Linked DNA regions of Lepisosteus oculatus. The protein of the gene in region 3 purifies or fractionates together with the protein of the main gene of each other region. This does not show direct contact. Links are inferred from orthologs where the notes say so. Each region holds a gene or a part of one and is shown on either strand. Other genes may lie near its edges.

Region 1 (7,902 bases), on a different chromosome or scaffold from region 3:
ATCAAGTGTAAAATCGTCTTGATCTATCTTACCCGTTGGAAGAAGTGCAAAAGTGTTGTCTTGGTCTATTCTGGTTTTGTATGACAGAGCACAGAGGGATCCTGCAATTATACAAAAACTTTCAAATCAGATGCAAGAGTCAGAACTACAGACATCAGGCACACTGAAAAGGGCACTCACACACACAGAGGACTGCATAAGTTTCCCACAGATTCCAAGCACTGTGCATAAAGTGCCTTCATCTAACAGTATAACACACAAGGCCAAGCAACCAGATAATGTCTGACAATAATCATTGTCATAGTATTCCATTTTGCATTTGGTGTGAATATAGTATCCATATTGATGCTACTCATTTTAATGCACAGAACACTGCGCCTTAGGAATGGGAAGACATTCACATGAACGAGCAGACAGATTTTTTCTTTAGGGAATCAGAAGTGGTGTGTCTTCAATCTCTTTCTCAGAATCAATCATGGGAATAAACGACTGAACCCGACCACTAATAAATTCAAACTCCAGTGAAAATTAAAACAGGTCTACCTGCTTTCACCTGCTTTTCAAGAAACTTCTCTTCCAGTATTTTATAGATGGGGAAGTTCTTCACCAAATAATATTTTGCAATGCTATTCACAATGCTTTTTAGCCCCAATGGTAGTGTTCCACACTCAGGAATTAAAACAGAAACCTGTTAAAAAGAACAATCAAAAGGGATAATTTAGGATATACAATTCCTATTTGTCAGATTTTTAGCAAAAGGCATAAATGCATATGAATGAGGCACTGCATCAACTTGCATTTGCTATAAAAAAAAGAAGGAAGAAGAGGGTTAATCCACACTGAAAGCAGAAACATTCTGGCCCTTGAGCCTTCTTCACACCTGGATATTTTTCAGCATGGGGAAAGTAACATTTACTTGTACCAAAATACATATGTACACACTTGTTTCTGCCAGAAAACAACTTCCCCTGACCAAACATTTCTACAGTCCACACTGATAAAAAAACAGTTTAATCTTAATCTTAATTTCTGCTTTATTTCTGTTCGTTTTCTGGAGGCAGCTGGTTCTACTGTCCCAACACACTAAAATCACCTTTGATTGGTGTTTGTAAATCCACAAAAGCGATTACTATGTTTTCTAAAGGATGGTTTGAAAAACAGAAATTCAATTCAGATTTCTGATACAATGGAGTACATAAGATGCATAAAATGAAAATGTGCATGTCAAACTAATTTCACACTATAACAAAAGAATTTATAACAACCAACCTGTTTTCTAAGAAACCAATGTATTGCTTTTAAGTGACAAAACTGATGGCACAACTGGAATTCATAAAAACTGAACCTATGAACCTTAACAATATTCAGTTTTTTGTGATGTGTTTTTGTGATGTAGAAAAATGTTGTATGAGAACGTAAGAAACATTACAAATGAGGGAAGCCCATTTTTGCCAATATATTTAATTCGGTTGGTCATAAGTCAATCCAAGGATCTTATCCAGGCATTTCATGGAAGAGCAGATGGCATCAGAAGCTTGTTCCAGACACCCACATCCTTTTGTGTGAAGAAGTGCCTCCTGTTCTCACTTTAACCTGCACTTCTGCTTAGACTCCACGTATGTCTCCGATTCACGTTTCAGTGTTAATTCTGAAGAAGCACATAGGTTAACTTTGCTAGTGCTTCTGATGATACAGTGGTGCAGAGGTTTGCATTGCTGCCTTGCAGTGCTGGGGCCCTGGGTTCAATTCCTGAGGTGATATCTGTGTGGAGTTTATATGTTCTCTCTGCGTTTGTCTGTGTTTCTCCCAGTTGCAGTGGACTGACATCCAGTCCAGAGTGTATCCTGCCTTGCACTTGTTGCTGGCTAGGATAGACTCTAGCTCCCCTGTGTCCCTGAATTGGAAGAAGAAGTTAGAAAACACCAAGATGTACGAATTCAGTAAAATCAAAATTCAAAATAAATTCTGTACTGTAGCAGAATCACCATAGGTCAGTCTTTAGATACAAGTGGATATGATTTGTAAATACATCCGGGCATTTCAGACCTTTACTCTGTCCGTCTTTATAAAAGCCAATATTTTTTCAACATAGGTTACAAACAGCATTTCTGTCTGACGTCACCGTTTCCTGTTTCTGTCACTCGAAGATTAATTTCCTAATGACATCTGTCTCTGAACTAAAATCGTCCTTGCAAATTCTACAGCCCACGACTCTCAGTATTTTTCACTTGAAGCTGCCCCAGTGCAAGATGCATACACTCTTATTATATTTAAATACTGTAAGAAAACAATCTACCAGGAATACATAACGAAATCAGACTTGAAAAGGTGCCCTGGAATCACTTATAAGACTCCAAATTACCGGTAGGATTCTGCTAAATCAAAGACGTAACCACATGAGTGGAAGAATCTATCAGGAACATAGAAGCAAAAAGAAGACAGAGATGATGTGGTATACACGAATTCTGCTTATAGGACTCTGGTGGTTTGGAATTCTGGAAGTTCTGGCTCATTTTCAGTTTCTGTTCATTTCATGCAGCTGTTCCCTGGAGACAACATACTGTAAATCAGATCTTAATCTGTATAGCCTTTTAGCGCAGACTGTCTTATTAGAAGCGACCGAATGCTTTTGCTCTTTTGTAAAGTAAGCATATTAAAATATCACCGTTTATTTTTGCGTCTGCAAAAAACATCACGTTTTCAACACTCAACACTCACCACTCACCTTGTAGTTAAAATAGTGACCGGCCACGTGGACGTCATGACGTGACTTTTCATTCAAGAAATTCGATTTCTCACACACCAGTAAATGCCTTGGACACTTCTCCAGGTCAGTCAGCATTGTTAGTCACAAGCACAAAACAGTGCCTTCATCAAAGCTGATTCAACGCGTTACTTCGTTTATGCAAAAGCAAGGCTCAAGATGAGAAGTATTTCCTCTTCTGTTTTGGTTCTTTGACCACTTCGTACACGCGCCTTTGAGTAGCCAATGGTAGGCTGTAAAATGACGCAGATGACATCACTTCCTGTCGCGTGCTCCCTGCTGCGAATTTGACCTGCCAATCTGCGCCTTACGTCACTAACCTCGCACGCAGTTGCTGATGCTGTGTAGTTTTTCAAGCGCAGGTCCTGCGCAAACACAAACGTCTTCATGGTGTTTTAGCTGTGGATGCAGCAAACTCAGGGATACGAAAACCTTGAGATTCAGTACAGGCTATGTAGTACAGCAAACCGCTTAGGAAGCACAAACTATATATTCTATTAACACATATAACATATTTTCGAATGTCCCTGATACTTTTATCTAAATCATCTTAAATGTATATATTATATAGATTTATACATTTATACAGTTAGACATTTTTGCAATAATAGTAAATTTCTTTGCTCAACTGTAGCAGAAGAGCAGAACCCCGCGTAAGAAGTGAGTCCACAATATTCGAGTTATACTATAAACCGGAGGTTTAACCAGTGCTCCATACAGTCATACAGTACATCATCTTTGTGCGGTAATGTGAGTGACAAACAAGAAACACCTTCGTAAGAAGGAAAGCGAGAAACCATAAAAAATAGTACTTTTGTATTTAAGGAGGGCTTTAAAAAATGCGGCTTTCAAACCTGAGACGTCAATGTTTGCAGGGCCGTATTATCCAAAGACTGCCAAAGACGTACGAAAATTAAACCGTTTATGGAGAAATTTTGAGCATTTTTATGATTATGATAAAACTGTAACAAATATCTCTTCTTCAATAAATATGTTTTCGAACAAAATCCTAAATTTGTATTACCTATCTACCCATTGAATTCAATACACTCTTAAAAACGCCTCCATCTACAGGGCATAGGAAACAGAGGTTGCCCAGGACCCTGGAGGACTTTAATTCAGCTCAGACTGAAAGTGTTGGAACATTCCCACAGAGCTTGTAACATTGGACAATATATACAGTATCTGTGTTTTTTAATGTAAAATAATATAATGTTTTCAAACTACAGGGGTGTATTCAGCCTACTGTATCTACTGAGTGGGTTTGGCTTTTAGTAGCTAGTGGATCTCATCCAGTGATACTTTTCCATTGTCATTGTTTATTGTGTAATCCAGAAAAATGTACATTGTCCTTGTTCTTATACAAGAAATTGTATATGGCCAATAAAGTGAACAGATCTTAAGGTGTGGTGTTAGGGTCCTTGCGACAGAAGAGCAAATTCAGTATGCAGCTCCACACCACATTACTGGTTTCCTGGATGCTCACCAGACCTGAGTAAGAACCAACTGCAAAGATAAAAGAGGACTGTTTATCAAAGCTGTGTGGCTCTGATGATGTTCAGGTGTTGGAAGTGCTTTACATTCTCTAGTTGTAGAAGTGCTCCAGATGAGTTCTGGCACATAAATTAAATACAACTGTTTATTTGCTCTGCCTTGCTCCTGTTGCTTGCCGGGATAGGCTCCAGCTCTCCTGTGATCCTGAATTGGAAGAAGCAGCTAGAAAATGGATGCATGGAATTCCTTTGGATAGACAATATTCCTTTAACAGTTAGAAAATAAAACGGTAAAATGGAGTAATTAGTAAGATTCAGATTTTTATTTTGGGTGAAACAAAAAATCATTTGCACTAAGGTTTCTAAAAAAAACCCAACGGGGCATTGCACAAACAGAGGACAACCACATAATAAAAAAACTAAAATAGCGCTGAAAGAAAAGAATCCAGGCCCTTTCAGATTAAATTTTAAATTTTATTTAGATTCTTTCAATCTTACTTGAATGGAAGTGCTAAAAATAAAATAAAAACAGTGCAGTTTTAATTCGTTTTGATTTAATTCGTTTTCATGCCAGTTGTTACAGGGGTGGCCAGTTTTGCATTTTTCCCATTCCCAAAACCTGTCCATTCCAGCAGATGGCAGCAGTATGCAGAGGAGGGAAAGGCTTAGTAGCCCTGGATCCCTAAAAAGGACTTATGGGGATCCCCAATGGGAAAGTGCATTTCAGAGACCTTTACTGAGCTTGAATGCCAAATCAGGTCAATGGTACCCTGCCACATCAGTCCTGTCCAACCTTCTCTTGTAGAACTTGGGGTGATGTGGTTTAAGCCGCATTATTGTTAGATAGAATAAGAAGCCATCTAAAAGTGGCTTACAAAGGTGGATGACTTTGTTTCTTTGACCGTACATACTTTAGAGGGCCTAGCATGCTCTTTCAAGGACAAATTGCAGTCATCAGGAATGGAAACAGGCATTCCCAAGCCACCATGAACACAGGGTTGAGGCAATCTTGGCAAAAAGGGTAGACTAGTCGGCGCAATGAGGTGCAGGTTCAACACAAAGTCTCCATCCATCAGCCTTTAAGCTCACTCATCCTGCAGGCAGAATTGGTCATTTTACGTACCAAAACAACCAAACAAAGGTCCCTGGTGGGGACTCAATGCTTAACAGGCAGCTGGAGTCTCCATGCTCCCACCAGAATTTAGCAGACAGTGGGGGTATGTCCAACCTCACATGCAGAAGACACTGCAGAAGGAGAGGTAGTGCTGGGAACATACAGTACAAAGGAGATTTCCAACCCAAAGGTGCACCAACAAATCAATGCCCAATGTGTAGTCTCAGGTTCAAAATAATGCAAGGCAAGGGGTTGATTCTTTGGAGGCAAGTAAATCCATGACCAGAGAGTTCCTGCACCTCGGCTACAACACCCAAGTGGAGGTGACATTTACACTCTGTTTACAAACACAGGAGACACGGGATCTACAAGGATAAACATCTGGGGATCATCCTGGTCAGAAAGTGATGAAATTCTGCCTCCTGCTCCTTGACCAGAATATTACCTGTTGTGGTCTATATACTTGACTGGGGTTCCTAATATTTTAGACTACTGACTTTATTGCATTTAAAAGACAACTGCACACTATCTGGAGATTTGCAATTGGACCTACGCTGTGTTCTGATTTTGTTCCATTCTCTTACTAGAAGATCATACACATTTAGTGTGTATTTTTTGTTCATTGCTTTTGGCCGTCATTGTTTCCCAATGTTTTTTATTTGTTTTGAGTGGTTTTTAATTAATCTCTTTGAGTACTTTTTTCACGGGAACCATTTTTTGAAAACTCTGTTACAAGTTTTTGTTTTTGTGACATGTTTTATTTCAGCGGTCTCATTAAATTTTCTGAAGACAGGAGCCACAGCACACTCCTTTGGAAGGAAATGTCAGTTTTATTTACCAGATGCAATTAAGGGGAAAAAACATTTAAATTAACAAATCAGCCTTTATTACAATGTGATAATATTGACTCATCTAATAGATGAAGAGGGGAACAGGGGCTCTATAAAATATTTTTTGTTTACCAGAGATGTAACTCAATTATCTTCCTGAATTTATAATTGCTATTCTACCACTGCTTAATCTAAACAGATGGTAATTTTACTGTACTACTGTAAATCAATTAAATTATACACTATTAAAATATTATACCAAACTGTGCATATCGTGCCCAGAACTTATCAACGTAAATGTTAATTTGAATTTTTAATTTTACTGTCTACCCGTTTGAAACAATGTATTGAATATCTATAGCTTTTCGTTTCTCAGTTTCAGAATAATCTTAAGAAAAGTACCAAATGTACCCATTACAACGGGGGAAAAAAATAAGGATCATAATGTTAATTCCAGCTGGTGAAGGCAGTATAGTTTTGATATGCAACAATGCGACACAACTATATCCGATGTCGTACTCTGTTAGGCTGCTGCAAATTGAAAAGTAGATGGAGACAGATTTCTGTTAAGCAATGCTACTAGGCAAAAGTGTTTCTTGGACTTTAAAATCAAACAGAAAAACGCAGTTAAAAAAGCATGTGTTAAATGTGCTTTTGATGCGGGATCTACAGTATAATATTACATAATACTGCATTATTTAGCGCGGTCAGTCTTTGGACCGGACACTCCAATATAAACGCTTTTTTTCCCGCAGTGCTTTGTTATTCAGGTACACGAGCGAACAAATATGTGCGTAGTTCACTGGTCATCAAAACAGATATTTGTGATAGTACACTTTTTGCCTTCTTTGTGACGTATTTAGTACATTTAGCTTTTAAATGCGCAAAGTCTGTGTTATGTAATTTATGCTGATTTACTTAACTGAGTTCAAACCATTGGGTTTAAAGGACATATTTAAAGATGTGATATGATGAACAAGCTGCTTTTCCTGTGTGACGTTATTTCTACAAATTCTTTCCCATTTTCATTATTTTGTTCTGTTGAGCATTTGTTGTTATTATCCAAGCATAGACTTACTTGCATTACAATACATACATTACTTATAAAATGGTAAATATATATTATTTAGATTGTATATCTCACTGCATAACGCGAACAGTGCTCTAACAACTGTTGAGTGTCTACCGAATGTAAAATAAATAATTCATATCACCAACATAACCTTTTATCTGTATGAATGAGGCAGCATATTGTATAGTTTCCCCCTAGGGGGGAAAGGTTTTAGAGGCAAGTTATACAGACTTAGTCATGGTGCTGTAAGTAGCTTTGACAAAAAGTTTTTATGTATTTTCCAGTTCATCAAGGGTTTTATGCAGTACTACTGCTGAAACACAAACACTGGTGCTTCAAAAGCACTTCAATGTTTCAGCCGTTAACGATTCGACGCTTTTTAGAATTGTGGTCAGGCCTAAGTCATTTATTGTTAAAAGGTAAACTATCCGATATTCTTTCGTTACATTTGGTAACTTCTGAGTTATCTGTTGACTTAAAAAAAACGTTTTCACGCAAAATATGCGTTATATCATGTTATTCTTGTTATAGTTAGCCAATAATTACTTTAAAACAACGAGATACGAGTGAAAGGCTTAAGCGTAACAAAAGCTGCTGAGTGCAAATTAATGACAGGGATGCTAAAACAT
Region 2 (6,715 bases), on a different chromosome or scaffold from region 3:
GTTACTGAGAAACCCATCTCAATAAGTTTCAAAATAACTAAAACATTGCTGCCACTACTTATACAGAACAAAGTGTGAACTGCACTCTCCCCAGGTGTGCACTATGACCTATGCTACCCACCTGACGGTGTTCTTATTGCTTACCTGCAACTCTCCAGGTATGCACTATGAGCCCCACTACCCACCTGACAGTGTTCTCATTGCTTACCTGCAGCTCTCCAGGTATGCACTGTGACCAATTGTTACCTGTTCACCCATCTCAGTCTGCTCATTGCCTACTTTCTCCAGTGCTGCTAAAATTATTCAACACTTAGGAAGCTTGAGACTGCATTTTTGCAATTGTTTTTTGGGGGCGTTGACAAAAAAAAAAGATATTTAAAAACAAAGTATTTTGTGTTGGATTCCTTGTTTTGTGTTTTTGAAGTGGAAAAAATGAGGACTTGTTTAGCGAGCCAAGAGACGTCTGTTGAAGTAATAAAGTTGTGCACAATCAGGAAATGCCTTCTGACTCTGAGATTTAGTGAGGGTACAATTTAATAAGGGGAACTTTCAGGGTTTTTAGAAAGGTAGTGAACTGGTTAGAGCTGTAGTTACTCAACTGGTAGTGAACATACAATCAATGCAGACTGCTGCCTTTTTACAATAAATGTATTTATCTAATGCATGAAGCAACGGGCAGTCTGTTGAGATTCTTCATTAAAAACCAACGGCTCTGGACCCTGCCCTGCAGAAACCTCACCCCTCTACAGAAACATACACACTGACGAACCATTCAGCATAAGCACTACATAGCAGAGTCTTCAACTCCAGCTTCTTTTTTTACAAGCTACCCGACCCCATCAGGCTGGAATCTTTAAAGACCAAGACACATGTGCCAGGAGGGGGTTATGATGCTGTTGAGAGACCCTCCTGCCAAAAAACTGCTGGCCTACAGCTGGACACCACAGCAGTAACTGGACAGTACTGATCCAGGAGCATCTGTGAACAGTAGTTAGAAGGGGGGACTCTTGACCCCCAGCCAGACTGAGGTTCCTCAGCCGGGTGCAGGGAGTCTAGTTCACGAGACATGGTGCCGAGAGTGAGCCGAGCAGGGCCGGGCCAAGGCAGCTCTCGGGGCTCATCCTCCCGCTGTTCTGCCAGCACCTGGTTTAGTCAGCAGACCTCTTCATCCTCCTCCTCTTCCTCAAGCTCCTTCAGCGAGCAGCTCATCACTGCCCTGCGCACCTCCACGCACTCCTCTGCAAAGACAGCACCCCACACGTCTCTGTCTGAACCCCAGCCCCCCCAGACATCATGTCTGCTCAGGGCTTGAGGTACAGTACTGCCCCACTGCCACCCCTCAATACCAGGGACAGGCCCCCCGAAACCCAGCTCGCCCGCGCCCCTCACCCTCACCCTCGCTGCGGCACTGCGGCAGCAGGCGCTGGATCTGGCGCGCGTTGTACCGGATCAGGAACTTCTGGCAGGTCCGGATGGTCCCTGCAGAAAGCGGAGGGACAGGGGTGAGTGCCTCAGCAGCCCGGGGGCGTGTGCAGAGTCTCGGGGTCCCGGCCCTCACCCCCCACGTGCAGGCAGTCGACGGCGCAGGGCAGCCGCTGGCCCCGGCTCTCCAGGCTGCTGACGAAGGGCAGCGCCGACCAGATCAGGCGGTAGTGGCTCTTGCGGCAGCGCAGGAACAGCACCCCTGTCCGGGCGTTCAGGTACTTCACTGCGGGAGACCAGGGGGCAGGAGATTAGCTGCACAGCCCAGAGGAAGGACAGGGCAAGCGGTACAGTACAGCGTCCAGCGGGAGGCGCTACCTGCGAAGGAGAGGCCGCAGACCCCAGCTCCGTAGTCCCCATGAGCTCGGGAGACCGCGTTCCTCAAGGCCGTGAACACGGAGCGATCGTCCAGCAGCTGGAGGGACGGCGGGTCCGACATCCGCACCTCGCACAGCAGGTATCTGCGGCAGAGACAGAGTGACGCGCTGGGGGGAGGCCGGGCTGCGTTCGCGCCGGGTCCGATTCTCCTCGACAGGCCCGACCCGGCCGAGGGAATCGCAGCATTACAGCGGAAGACCGAGCGCATCTACATGTTTAAACATCTGAAAATGCACTAGCGCGTCCAGGAGCGGGGCTCCTACTGGGATCAGGAGACATGGGGTCCTGCAGGATATTGAAGAAATCGACAATAATGGGACAGCAGTTTTCAGAAATTATTATAGAAACTCAGCTATATATAATATAAATTCAGTTATACTTCTTCTCATACATTATTTGATATTTTTGCCAATACTGAAAACACGACAACTTGTCACACTCTCAGATGACAGAAAACCTTTAACGGCTTTGGGATAATGAGCTTCAACTCTTATTTAACAACAACAACTCAATTCCTCGCCTCACCTCGACTTGAATCGCACCATCCTGCAGCCCACACGCGCGTTTCTGTTTCAGTGTAGCCTGACTTCCTGCTCTGAACTGAGCCAATCATATCGGAGTATTATGGAAAGGGCGGGCACAGTGAATGAAGATTGACAACAAAATAAGCCAATAAAGTCGCAGTCCTAGCCGTGTACACGCGTGTGTGTATGACGTGCAGAACTCCGTGTAATTGATGGATGAGCTGGCCTATAGACTTTCAACTTCCCTTCCTGACTGAAGGGGGCGTGAACTATGACGTATGCAGAGAGAATGTGTGTAATTATATGTATTTATATGTAATTATATGTGTGTCCGCTAGAGGGTGTGTTGTGCTTGTGTGCACCGTCTTCATTACTATCTAATTTCATGTACAACATATATACAGATATACATGACACCGGAACGGCTGAAACGTTGTGTTTTCTTTTTTCTCTTCTCAGCATTATTTGATATTATTTGTTCCTATATATACATAACGTTAGAAAACGTTATTTCGTGCGCACGAATTGTAAATCGTTCACTCGATTTAACTTTTTTTTCTTACTGATGGCCCCTCCCGGGCTCCGTACATATACGCATATTGCATTATAAAGGAACAAGTACAGACTTATTCCACACTGAAAAGAAACACAACGTTTCGGCTGTGGAGGCTTCGGGTTTCTTTTCTTCTCTTTTCTTCAGGAATAAACCTCGTTCCTTTGCAGCCTACGCGTGCTGACGCAGGTCCCTACTTCACATACTGTATAAAACTTGTTATAAAAATGAACCTTACTATGTTCAACACAAATCTAGAGCATTTATTTAACAAACTAACAAACAGGACGACTCTCTCGAAGCTGGTGTAGAATTCCCACCACTTTGTCTAATTAAATCGGCTGTTCTCGGAGTAAAGTGAATTCCCAGTAGAATTCGCGAAAAGGAACGCTAGTCTGACGCTGCTCATATTTTACCAATACATATGGCAGAGGAAAGGCAGGAGAGGTGTGACGTTTAAAACTGAAGCTCCGACGCTGGGTGCGAGCTGTGCGCCTCTGATTCACTCCCTCGGCGGGGCGCAGAGGAACAGCCGCGGACTCCAGAAAATATCACACAGCAGCCACATCACCCTGCAACTCCCAGCTGGCAGCCCACTGAAGCCCAGCAGTGTGAGCCTGGTCAGTACCTGGATGGGAGACTCCTGGGAAAAACTAAGGTTGCCACTGGAAGCGATGTTAGTAGGGCCAGCAGGGGGCGCTCACCCTGCAGTCTGTGTGGGTCCTAATGCCCCAGTATAGTGACGGGGACACTCTACTGTAAACAGGCGCCATCCTTTGGATGAGACGTAAAACCGAGATCCTGACTCTCTGTGGTCATTAAAAATCCCAGGGCGTTTCTCCCGTAACCCCGTGTCCTGGACAAATTTCCCATTGGCCCTTACCAATCATGGTCCCTAATAATCCCCATCTCTGAACTGGCTTCATTACTCTGCTCTCCTCCCCACTGAGAGCTGGTGTGTGGGGAGTGTACTGGCGCACTATGGCTGCCGTCGCATCATCCAGGTGGGGCTGCACATTGGACGTGGAGGGGATCCCTATTGGTGGAGGAGATCCCCATTACCTGTAAAGCGCTTTGAGTGGAGTGTCCAGAAAAGCGCTATATTAGTGTAAGCAATTATTATTATTATTATTATTATTATTATTATTATTATTATTATAAAATAACGTCCTGTCATTTCACATTCCGGTTATTCACGTCTGCCGCGGTTCACTGGTGCTTAAAGAGCTTGCGGGGATTTTGACGGTTTCATGCGCCAGGTGGCGCTAGTACCCCACTTCTCCGTTCACACGTCCCGGTATCGTCTGTCTCTGTCATTCCACCCCTCTGCACCGGGCAGATCGCGGATATTGTGACACTGGAAACCGACAAGAGCTCCTGGGCTCACTGTGGAGGCTGTGTCACCCGTGGGTGTTAGTACAGTACACTCGCGATTATCCTACCTAACCGGGGCCGATAGTATCGGATAATTGGAAATTTCGGATAATGCGGAAACTGAGTAGACAAATCATAGATTAATGGAAGCGCAGTATATGAATGAAATCTGGTTTATTAATCTACTGTAATACTAAAATAACAGAGTACAGAACTATTGTTAGTTATTATTTAAAAAAATGAGTGATTGGAATCTGTTTCCCAGATGTGCTTCTCTTCCTTGCGGCGAAGTCTTAGTAACATGCCATCAGTAGCAGTGGCCTCGTCTTGCTGTTCAGCGTGAGCTGGTGCCGCTTCCAAAGACAACAGGAAAAACAATCACGAGCGCGAAGTTAGCAAATGAAACTACGTCAATGGCAGCACGTGACAGAGCAGCATCGGATTGGGCAAAATCTTATGCAGGCGCACGCATAGTGCACAGTAAATACTGTACACTGGTGATTGGCTATGTCGGATTAAACGGCATGTCGGATAATCGCGACTCTACTGTATTTATACAGACGGATTCTGCAGTAAATGGTTGCTGTGTGTAACTGAGTCTCTCGGGGAACAGGGAGTGTGACACAGGAGTCTCCATGACTGGAATTAGCTGAGACAATGTCGCTGTTTAATCCCACTCTGCAATTTACGCTAATGCCTTAATTATAATGACATCCTTACGAGAGGCTAATTGCCTCTGTGCAGGATGACACCAGTGTCATTAACTCTAATGAGGGCTTGCGTCACACTGAGACGCCGTCATGAGCTCAGCGCAGTGCAGCTCAAACACTCTTATCTGTCTGGCTACCAGTTTGTCCCCCAGTCTGTCCCAGTCAGCTCCCAGTCTGTCCCCCAATCTTTCCCCTGTCAGTTCCCAGTCTGTCCCCCAGTCTCCAAACACACACAGACACACACTGACACTCACACAGACTCACTCACACACAGACTCGCAGACACACTAATTTCTTCAGCAGGTTCAGATTGATACCAGAGACGCTTCACCTCCGTGAGTGTCTGCTGAGAGACAGTCAGAGAGGATACAGAGTGATAACATATCCAGGCACACAGGCAATATAGCACTGTGACGGTCAGTCCCCACTGCTCCTGCAGAACCTGGGAGTACAGCACAACACACAGCCATACAGGCCATCCAGCACAACGACCCCTGCACAGTAGAAGACAGTGTACAATAGAATACTGTTTAATGCATGTGATAGAAAGCAATTCAGAGACAGAACTCAGTAACACATAATGCAATGAAGTGTAGTGGACCGCAGACCCACAGAGCCCGACAGCAGGGTCATTACTGTGCTGATACTGAGAGGGCTGGGGCTCGGGTCAGGTGATGAGGTGGACAGAGCTCATGCTAACTGTTCTTCCTCACTCTCACTCACACCTCTGTCAGATAATAGCCCCACTGTTTGGTCAGGATTAAACTTTAATTTGTCACCTGAATAATTGAATGAGTGTCGGCTGCCCGCTTACAAGGCCCTGACAGGTCGCCTATGAATTCTTTATCGGCGACACTTAAGAGCCATCGTGTCTTAATGTAGGGGGAAGGTTGGGGTCAGGGAGAGGAGACACAGTGTCTGGGGTGTCAGTCAGAGGAGACTCAGTGTCTGGGGAGACAGGTAGAGGACACTCAGTGTCTGGGGAGTTGGGGAGAGGAGACACAGTGTCTGGGAGGTCAGGGAGAGGAGACACGGTGTCTGGAGAGTTAGGGAGAGGAGACACAGTGTAAGGGAGAGGAGACAGAGTCAGGAGAGATAGGTAGAGGAGAATCAGTGTCTGGGGAGTTGGGGAGAGGAGACTCCGTGTCTGGGGAGTAGGGTAGAGGAAGCTCAGTGTCTGGGGAGTGGGGAGAGGAGAAACAGTGTTTGGGGGGTCAGGGACAGGAGACAGTGTCTGGGAGGTCAGAGACTGGAAACATTGTAATAGAGGTTGAGAATCCCTTATCTGAAATTCCTGGGATCGAAAGTGTTGCAGATTTAGGATTTTTTCTGATTATTTGCATCTATAAAATGGGACAGCTTGGCAATGGGACCCAAGTCTAAACACGATATCCATTTACATTTCATAATATAGCTTATGCATATAACCTGAATGTAGTTTTATATAATTTTTTAAACATAATACCATCAGAAAGGTAAGATATCAGTCTCTGCCTATGATGTCATATTTTGATTAAAAGGTTACAGTACACATACGCCATTTGTATTTTATTTTTTACTATACAGGTATTAAGTTTTATGTAAGGTGTAAAAACTAAGCATTGAATATGATAACAGGTAAATAAAATGAAAACTGAAAAAGTCAGCATTTTATTTTTAAAGTAATGTACAAGTAATGACGCTAGTCAAGCTAC
Region 3 (7,327 bases):
CCTTCAAATCCTCTCTGTTCATTTGAGGGTTTTGACTTCACACCTCTTCACCTCTCTCGACTTCGCACCACCTGAGTGCCCACTCTGCTGCTCTCCTCCCTCCTCCTCTCCATTCCCGGCTTTTGTTCTCCCATGCTTTATTACCTGCTGACTTTCCTGCCTTTCTCACACCCGAAGGCTCCACAGTTGAAGCATTGTGTTTCTTTTCTTCTGTTTTCAGCATGGAATAAACCTTTACTTGTTCCTTTGCAATCTGCGCATGCTGACGCAGCTACCTACTTGAACTATTTTAAAGTCTTTGTTTCTTGTAATAGTTGATAGCATTAACAGCTTGTTTATTAGCCTGGTATGAACTAACAACTACTAATGTTTAGTTGGTAACAAATGTCTGACCGTTCTCATATATAAATTATTTATTACTGCATACTAGAGTTTTAATAGATTGTTATGCATTTATAAAGTGTTGTTTGTAGCCCTTGAGCTGAAGTGTTGAATCTCTGTGTTTTCTTTCATTTAAGATAAGGCAGCAAACTGGGGGAAACTATTTAATGATGTACATTTTTAAATGTATTCAGTACTATAGTGTAACAGAAGTGTTCTTGATTTAAGGACAGTGGAGGTCTGGGAGGTGGTTGACATACTGTAACTGCAAGAAAATTGCTTTAGCGTAATTAAGTGAATTTGTCTCTTCCACTGCTAAAAATCCAAAATTTGCAACATATTTCTCAGCGTGTACTAACAGAAAATGCATGCCTGCTCATTTCCTGTGAAACGTCTATGTCTCTGCTCATCTCAGGCCAGGTACAGAGGTCATACCTAACAGTTGGAGAGTCTCAGTCTGACAGACTGCCTAACCAGGTCTGGCTTTAATTTCAGAGCACAGACAGATATCCATGTTAATTTTCATGTGTTAAATAAAAATACATTCAAAAGAACTACAGATTTAGGAGTTCAAATATGAATACTATGAAATGAAGATGGTTAAGTGTAATACATATTTTACCCATGTGTATAAGCTTAACTATACTGTATATAGCTAAACTTTTAGAGCATTCTATTTTACCTCTGTTTAAATAATGCTGCATCCAGGACCACAGGTAAATGAAATCACTATTCCTCTGAATGCAATACAGACTGTGAAGCACAATTAAGCAAAAACCTGACCCTCAACATTCAAATACAGAATATATTTTTAATTAGTTCACTCAGTATATTCTCTAAGCAGGGACTAACAGTATCGTTTTTTGTAGTCCAGAGCACTGCTTTTAATCCTCCTGCAGCCATGACATAAAACCCTATATGAGCTACAAAGTGTTTTATTGTGCTCTGAATTCTCTGCACAAAGCTGTATGGTTGTGAAAAAATGCACAATTGGTAGGACCAAGTCAAAACCAAGTAAGGATATCATAATGCAAATCAAACAGTTTTGCACCTTCATCTGTTTCTTTTGTTTACTGTACCACTGTCTATTCTGTCATCTTTTCTAAAACACCAGTCACTGGAGCCCAGAAAAGCTTAATAAGCCTTCCTGTCTGAAAAGGATGTATTGCATTTGTTCAGTGCATCTGGGCTCTTCCTGCAGAGAACATCTTGGCAGAACAGTGTTTTCCCCCAGCCCTCTGCCCCCTTTCTGAGATCTTTGACATTTGTCTGTACCAAGGGATGGCCAACCCGGGTCCTTGAGAATCACAGTCCAGCAGGTCTGATGGGTCACTCATTGCCCCCCCAATTCCTAAACACCTGGAGTATCTCAAACACTGGAGAGGGTGAGCTATTCAATTCGGTTTTTGAGCGGTCATTTGGACCACAGCTTTCTTATCCTGATTTCACTGAACCAGTTAACCCCCTAAATAGATCAGAATGCACGTGTTCAGTCTTCAGAAATGTGAGGGTGACCCAAAAGACCTGCTAGATTCCAGCTCTCCATTAACCAGGGTTGGTTTACAACTATTGGCCTACACTCTGTGCTGCACTGAAGCAAACTGGAACAATCCTGCAGATACCTGCTGATGTTCGGATTGTTGACTTGATGTTTTGGACAGGATGTCTTTTGGTTTTTGTTCCAACCTGAGTAGTCAGCCAATTCCCCTAAGTCTTTTCTTAATTAGATAATTAACAAATATTGGGTTAAGAAAATAGAGAATAACAAACAATACTGGGTGGGATAATCAAGAATAATAGACTAATTGTAAAGATTATACCAAGAATATACACAACAGGTTGGTATAGTAAGAGGCATTTGAGATCTTTGTTCTCTGACACAGCTCAGTCAACTCAGGCACAAATTGGAATAAACTAATATTTATTAAAAAATAACAACATAAACTAAATGCACAACATAAAACATTCAAATTACTCTATTTATAAACAAGACATTTCATGTCTTGGAAAAAAAAACCCAGATTACTTTCACAAAGTATGCACCAATCCTAAATAATGCCCTCACAGGTCAACTGTGAAGAACTAAGCCTGCCTTCTTAATTAAAGATTTAAAGACCTACAGTTAAATCTCTCCCTCTATAAATCCAGATGCTACAAAGTGAATGGGATGCATCTCCCTAAATGCATCCTTTGACCAGGTGAGATTGTTTTTAATCTAGGGATTTTATATACAAGAAATAAAAGTTCCCTGAGAATAACAGAATGGCAAACTCTCTTAACAAGGTTCAAATATTTATCTAGAATCTTGTCTTCATTGGTTGATCCAAACCAGAACCTGTAGCCTGGCACTCCTTTTTCTCTCTCCTTGTGTTTTGCAGTCTGCCTCATCTCCTCCCTGTTCTCTTTTTACCCTCTCTCTGTCTTTGTTCCCAGACTGTTGATGACTCTTAATTATTTGCCAAGAATTTAATGAACCAAGGTAAACCAGACCCATTACAAGTCAGAGAACACCTCAGGTGTCGATCCTTGTCTTTAATTCTTATGACTCCTCAATAGCCACTTCCTATAGCTTTGACAATATATAGGATTTTTCAAAAGGTCTTTTAGTTGACTAGGCAAGAGCCAGACGTTCACTTCATTAAAGGTTCTGTTGCGTAGAAATCACCTAGAAACATGTTAGAAATGTTACATTGAATAATTAATTAAATAAATAAATGTAACAGAGAACATGATCAGAACAAAAATCAGAAGGCACTGGGCCTTGCAGGAATGGAGTTTGAGATACTATATAGTGTACCTTGAAAATTAACTTAGTCCTCAAGATTTTTTTTCTTTAGGTATTATAATTGTATATAAGTCTCAAGCAAGTATTGAAAATTATCCATAGTAGGTATTTATTGTACTGCACACAATTACCATATTGTGTTTATTGGTATATTTTATGGAGTTTTCATTGTGCTAAAATATAGAAACAATTCTCATTTTTAATATTTTATTGTAATTACTGTAGAAATGTGTATGTAAATAGTATTATGATTAGTAATAAGCTCCTCATGACGAGAATAGAAACTGTTGTTCAAGATGTGACATGCTTAATTTCGTTGTGCATCCATTTTCTAACCACTTCTTCCAATTTAGGGTCAATGGGCACAAGGCAGGGATGAGACACCAGTCCATCACAAGGCAGTACAAATGCAGACACACCAGGGCTAATTATCCCAGAAGCCAATTCACCTACCACCAGTATGTCTGTAGACTGGGGGAAGAAACTGGAGAACTTAGATGAAACCCACATGGGAAATCACACAAACTCCACATAGATACAGTAGCTCCCCAGGAATTGAACCCAGGGCCAGAGCACTGCAAGACAGTTAAGCTAACCACTGCGCCACCCACTTTCATTTTAATATCAGTTAACTGGTGGATACAATGAATTGCCTCCACTTTTAGTAGTGTAACTAAAATGTTTTCTGAAAGACAGTATTTTTGTATGTTGTAGAAACTTTAGTTTAAATATTAAGAATAAATATTAAGGTGGAGTAAAGCCGTGTACGAAATTTGGGAGCAGAATTATTATGTTATTATGTAGGTGGATGCTGCACATTGGTGGTGGTGGAGGGGAGTTCCCATTACCTGTAAAGCGCTTTGAGTGGAGTGTCCAGAAAAGCGCTATATAAGTGTAAGCAATTATTATTATTATTATTATTATTATTATTATTATTATTATTATTATTATTATTATTATGATGATGTCTAAATGACCAATCCTTCACAAGTGACCAAACAATTTAGCCGAAATAACGAATCGTAATGCTTTTCCGTGTATTAAATTCCGTGATGTAGAAAGTAAAGATAATTTTATTTATTTACTACTGGAGACGTGGACTGAGATTTGATTTATATTAGGACGTCATATGGACCTTTTGAGGACATTAGGTACAGAACTGTATACGAGCACAGAGCTAGGTCGGACTGCAAAGGCTGTAGAACAGGAAGTACGACTTGAAACGTGGTTACAGTGCGGAGTTTAATCTGAGTTAAGGTGTCAGGTAATGTGAAGAATTTTTAATCAAACCAACACCAGTCTCTGACATGTTGAGTACTACAAATCTGTTTACTTTGCTCTGTATCATTAGGAGCCTTTTTCTTAGCTTCTGCCTTGCAACACTGAATCAAAAGCAAATGCTGTCTTAAGTAATAATGTCTTCTCACAGAAAATCTCGCAGATATTATTATTATTATTATTAATAGAATGATATATTTGCGAAATACTGACAGCATTTCTTTTAGTCTTTTTTCCTATAACATTCGCGAAATCGTGAATTAAGGGTGCAAAAATAAAGCAGCTTTTAGAAACTACTTTCTCGCTACAGAATATAACGGGGTTGACTAAATTAACATTGTTAGGAAACAACTGTGTGAGTTGATCATACCACACATTGTTGCTGTATTGTAATTTTATTTTTTGTTATTGCATGGTTACAAAGTTTCTCACTTAAACCCAAAGCAATACGTTATGTTGCTCCTCTAAAGTTAACAAACACAGTGGAATTGCAGGGCCGTGCAATCTGTGCAGAACATTATTTTCTGCTGTGTGATTACGGGATTTTTCTCTTTGTTAAGGAAATAGCATGAGACGCTCTGGGAAACAGGAGGAGGAACCTGCAAGTTATGAAAGGCTTGTTTTGAAGAATGCATCAGTGTACCATTATCTGAGGATCTCCCTGTGAGTGTGCCGGCATGTTTTGTTTTCACGAGCATTTCTTGGTGTCTCCTACAAATTGTTTGATCACGCATGAACGCTCACCTGGCACCTCATTAAATGTACTGCAGTTAATCTGATAATAGCAACGAGTGTTGTTTCCAGGCTGTTTCAATGTCTTTAATATATTTTTTTAATTGTATCGTAATTTACACCATAGCTAGGTTTTACACTAAAATGTTCACAGACGTGTTCTGGAAATCATTGTTCAACTCTGACCAGTATTGCTCAACTGATGTACGGTGTTGTTGTTTGATTTTAAAACTGAAGATTATTTTTCTAACATCCTACACATCAATATGAATGTGTTCAAATTTATTATAAAGATGTATAGAAATATCTAGGGAGATTTGGTGGATCAGTGATTAGTATTGGTGTCTTGCATCACTGGGGCCATGAGTTTAATTCCAGACCTGGGGTGCTATCTGCATAGAGTTTGTATGTCCTCCCTGAGTTTGTGTGGGTTTTGGCTGGGTGCTTTGGTTTCTTCCCAAAGTCCATAGGAGGATTAATGGGTAGGTTATTTGACTTCTAGGAATGTTGGCCTTGGTCTGAGTGTAGGCGTTTGTCTCTGCCTTGCAATGGACTGGCGTCTGGCCCAGGCTGTATCCTGCCTCACTTTCGTTGCTTGCTGGGATAGGCTCCAGCTGCCCCATGACCCTGAATTGGATCAAGTGGTTAGAAAACAAATTGCTATAAATACATTTTTTTTAAATCATCCCTCTTTTTTTTAAATCAAGCTCTCATGAGAATTCGGCTGTGATTTTGCAGGTGTGAGAAATGCATTGCCAAATATCTAAGCGACTTTTCTCTAGATGCAGACAGGGCAGAATTTTGTTTCCTTCTCTGTTGGTGGAAAACTCTGGCCTTGTTTTTACAGAGTATTCCAAGACAGTGACAAAAGACTCAGTGAGGCCCAGTTCAAGCAGCTGATCATTTCAGCCCTCAGAGACCTGTATGGAGAGGTATGTAAATGCAAATATAAGTTTGATGTACCAGATATACAGAGCTAGACTCCATCTTGATATACAGACCCAGTTTGGAAATATTTAAATGGACTTTTACCCAAATTGACAAATTTATTTTGTTAATAATTTGTTAACTCTGTTGACAAATGGATCTACAGAATAATACAGTACAGTTCATACAGCTTTTAGGCCATATTTTAGAAGAAACGCGTATCCTCTGTTCTATAAGAAATAATAGATGAATATAGTGTCTTTGCTACTATCAATCCTTGTGTGTTTTGTATTTGATTTTCAAGCAGCATTTTGCATGGGAACATGACCATAAATACCAGAAAGTAGGTGCTTCAGAAAGGAAAGGGGAGTGCAAATATCTGTTGCACAGTTATGTTTATCAGCGTTTCATTAAGGGAAGTGTATTGTGAAATAAAGAGAAAGGTGTTAGCTTTGCTTGATATGTTTAACGTGTGTTGCAGTTTTGTTTTAATGGGCAACTCCAGAAATAGACACAAATAACACAGATGTTTTGTAGATTGGAGCCGCCTTTCCTTTCGATGTTCTAAAATTTGAGGAGAACACGCTGAAAGCGATAATACGAGTGTTGAGCAGGTAAAGTAATATTGCTTGTCTGTAAAAATGAAAAATGTGGAAGCAAGCATAGTAAAAATAGTCAACGAGTCAAATGTCCTATAGTTCAAAACAATTAGAAGTGTATTCAAGATTTTTATATTATTGTTTGGTTATACAATTTATTTATATGTATGATTTATGATTTATTTTTTTTAAATGTATTTTAAAATGTACAGGATCGACAATGGTGTTTGTCCACAGCCCTTCCTCTGAGTCACTATGCAAATATTTTTCTTCCAGTGGCCTTGTGAAACTGTGGAGTGCTCTGACATTACTAGGATCCTATCAAAATGAACCATGTGCCTTTAGGATTATTCAGGTGAGTTAATTAGTTGAAATAGCCAATTTGTTTTTGAATGTACAATATTCCCCATCTTTTAAAGTTACACCATGTAAATGCTCAGTGTTTTGCAAAGTTCTTTATATTTTGTGGACTATTTTATATTTTGTGGGAAAAAAACAAAGGGAATGAGTATTTTGTCTGCTTTCCAGTAATCATATTTGAATTATTTTAACTTTATTTTCTTACAAAGTGTGAGCACACTCTATTGACAGATTTATCTACATAATAATAGCCTCAGTTCATACA

Evidence for each region. Proteins that work in one complex are often made in the same cells at the same time.
Region 1: the proteins of rpp14 (region 3) and rpp40 purify together in Homo sapiens (co-immunoprecipitation; 3 studies listed by BioGRID and IntAct, with this or other methods). This does not show direct contact. The link is inferred for Lepisosteus oculatus from reciprocal best matches to the Homo sapiens genes RPP14 and RPP40.
Region 2: the proteins of rpp14 (region 3) and pop5 purify together in Homo sapiens (co-immunoprecipitation; 3 studies listed by BioGRID and IntAct, with this or other methods). This does not show direct contact. The link is inferred for Lepisosteus oculatus from reciprocal best matches to the Homo sapiens genes RPP14 and POP5.

Annotation. Positions count from the first base shown.
Region 1 is NC_090701.1:18,538,513-18,546,414, reverse strand, and holds the start of rpp40 (ribonuclease P protein subunit p40), read right to left. Parts: upstream 3,017-7,902; 5' UTR 2,843-3,016; coding exon 2,726-2,842; intron 689-2,725; coding exon 544-688; intron 102-543; coding exon 33-101; intron 1-32. UniProt on the Homo sapiens protein: Component of ribonuclease P, a ribonucleoprotein complex that generates mature tRNA molecules by cleaving their 5'-ends. Also a component of the MRP ribonuclease complex, which cleaves pre-rRNA sequences.
Region 2 is NC_090717.1:200,777-207,491, forward strand, and holds pop5 (ribonuclease P/MRP protein subunit POP5), read right to left. Parts: upstream 2,472-6,715; 5' UTR 2,406-2,471; coding exon 2,386-2,405; intron 1,944-2,385; coding exon 1,801-1,943; intron 1,709-1,800; coding exon 1,559-1,708; intron 1,480-1,558; coding exon 1,396-1,479; intron 1,239-1,395; coding exon 1,153-1,238; 3' UTR 517-1,152; downstream 1-516. UniProt on the Homo sapiens protein: Component of ribonuclease P, a protein complex that generates mature tRNA molecules by cleaving their 5'-ends. Also a component of the MRP ribonuclease complex, which cleaves pre-rRNA sequences.
Region 3 is NC_090699.1:56,404,944-56,412,270, reverse strand, and holds the start of rpp14 (ribonuclease P protein subunit p14), read left to right. Parts: upstream 1-4,326; 5' UTR 4,327-4,430; exon of another isoform or gene 4,431-4,475; intron 4,476-5,004; 5' UTR 5,005-5,012; coding exon 5,013-5,107; intron 5,108-6,023; coding exon 6,024-6,108; intron 6,109-6,640; coding exon 6,641-6,717; intron 6,718-6,978; coding exon 6,979-7,057; intron 7,058-7,327. UniProt on the Homo sapiens protein: Component of ribonuclease P, a ribonucleoprotein complex that generates mature tRNA molecules by cleaving their 5'-ends.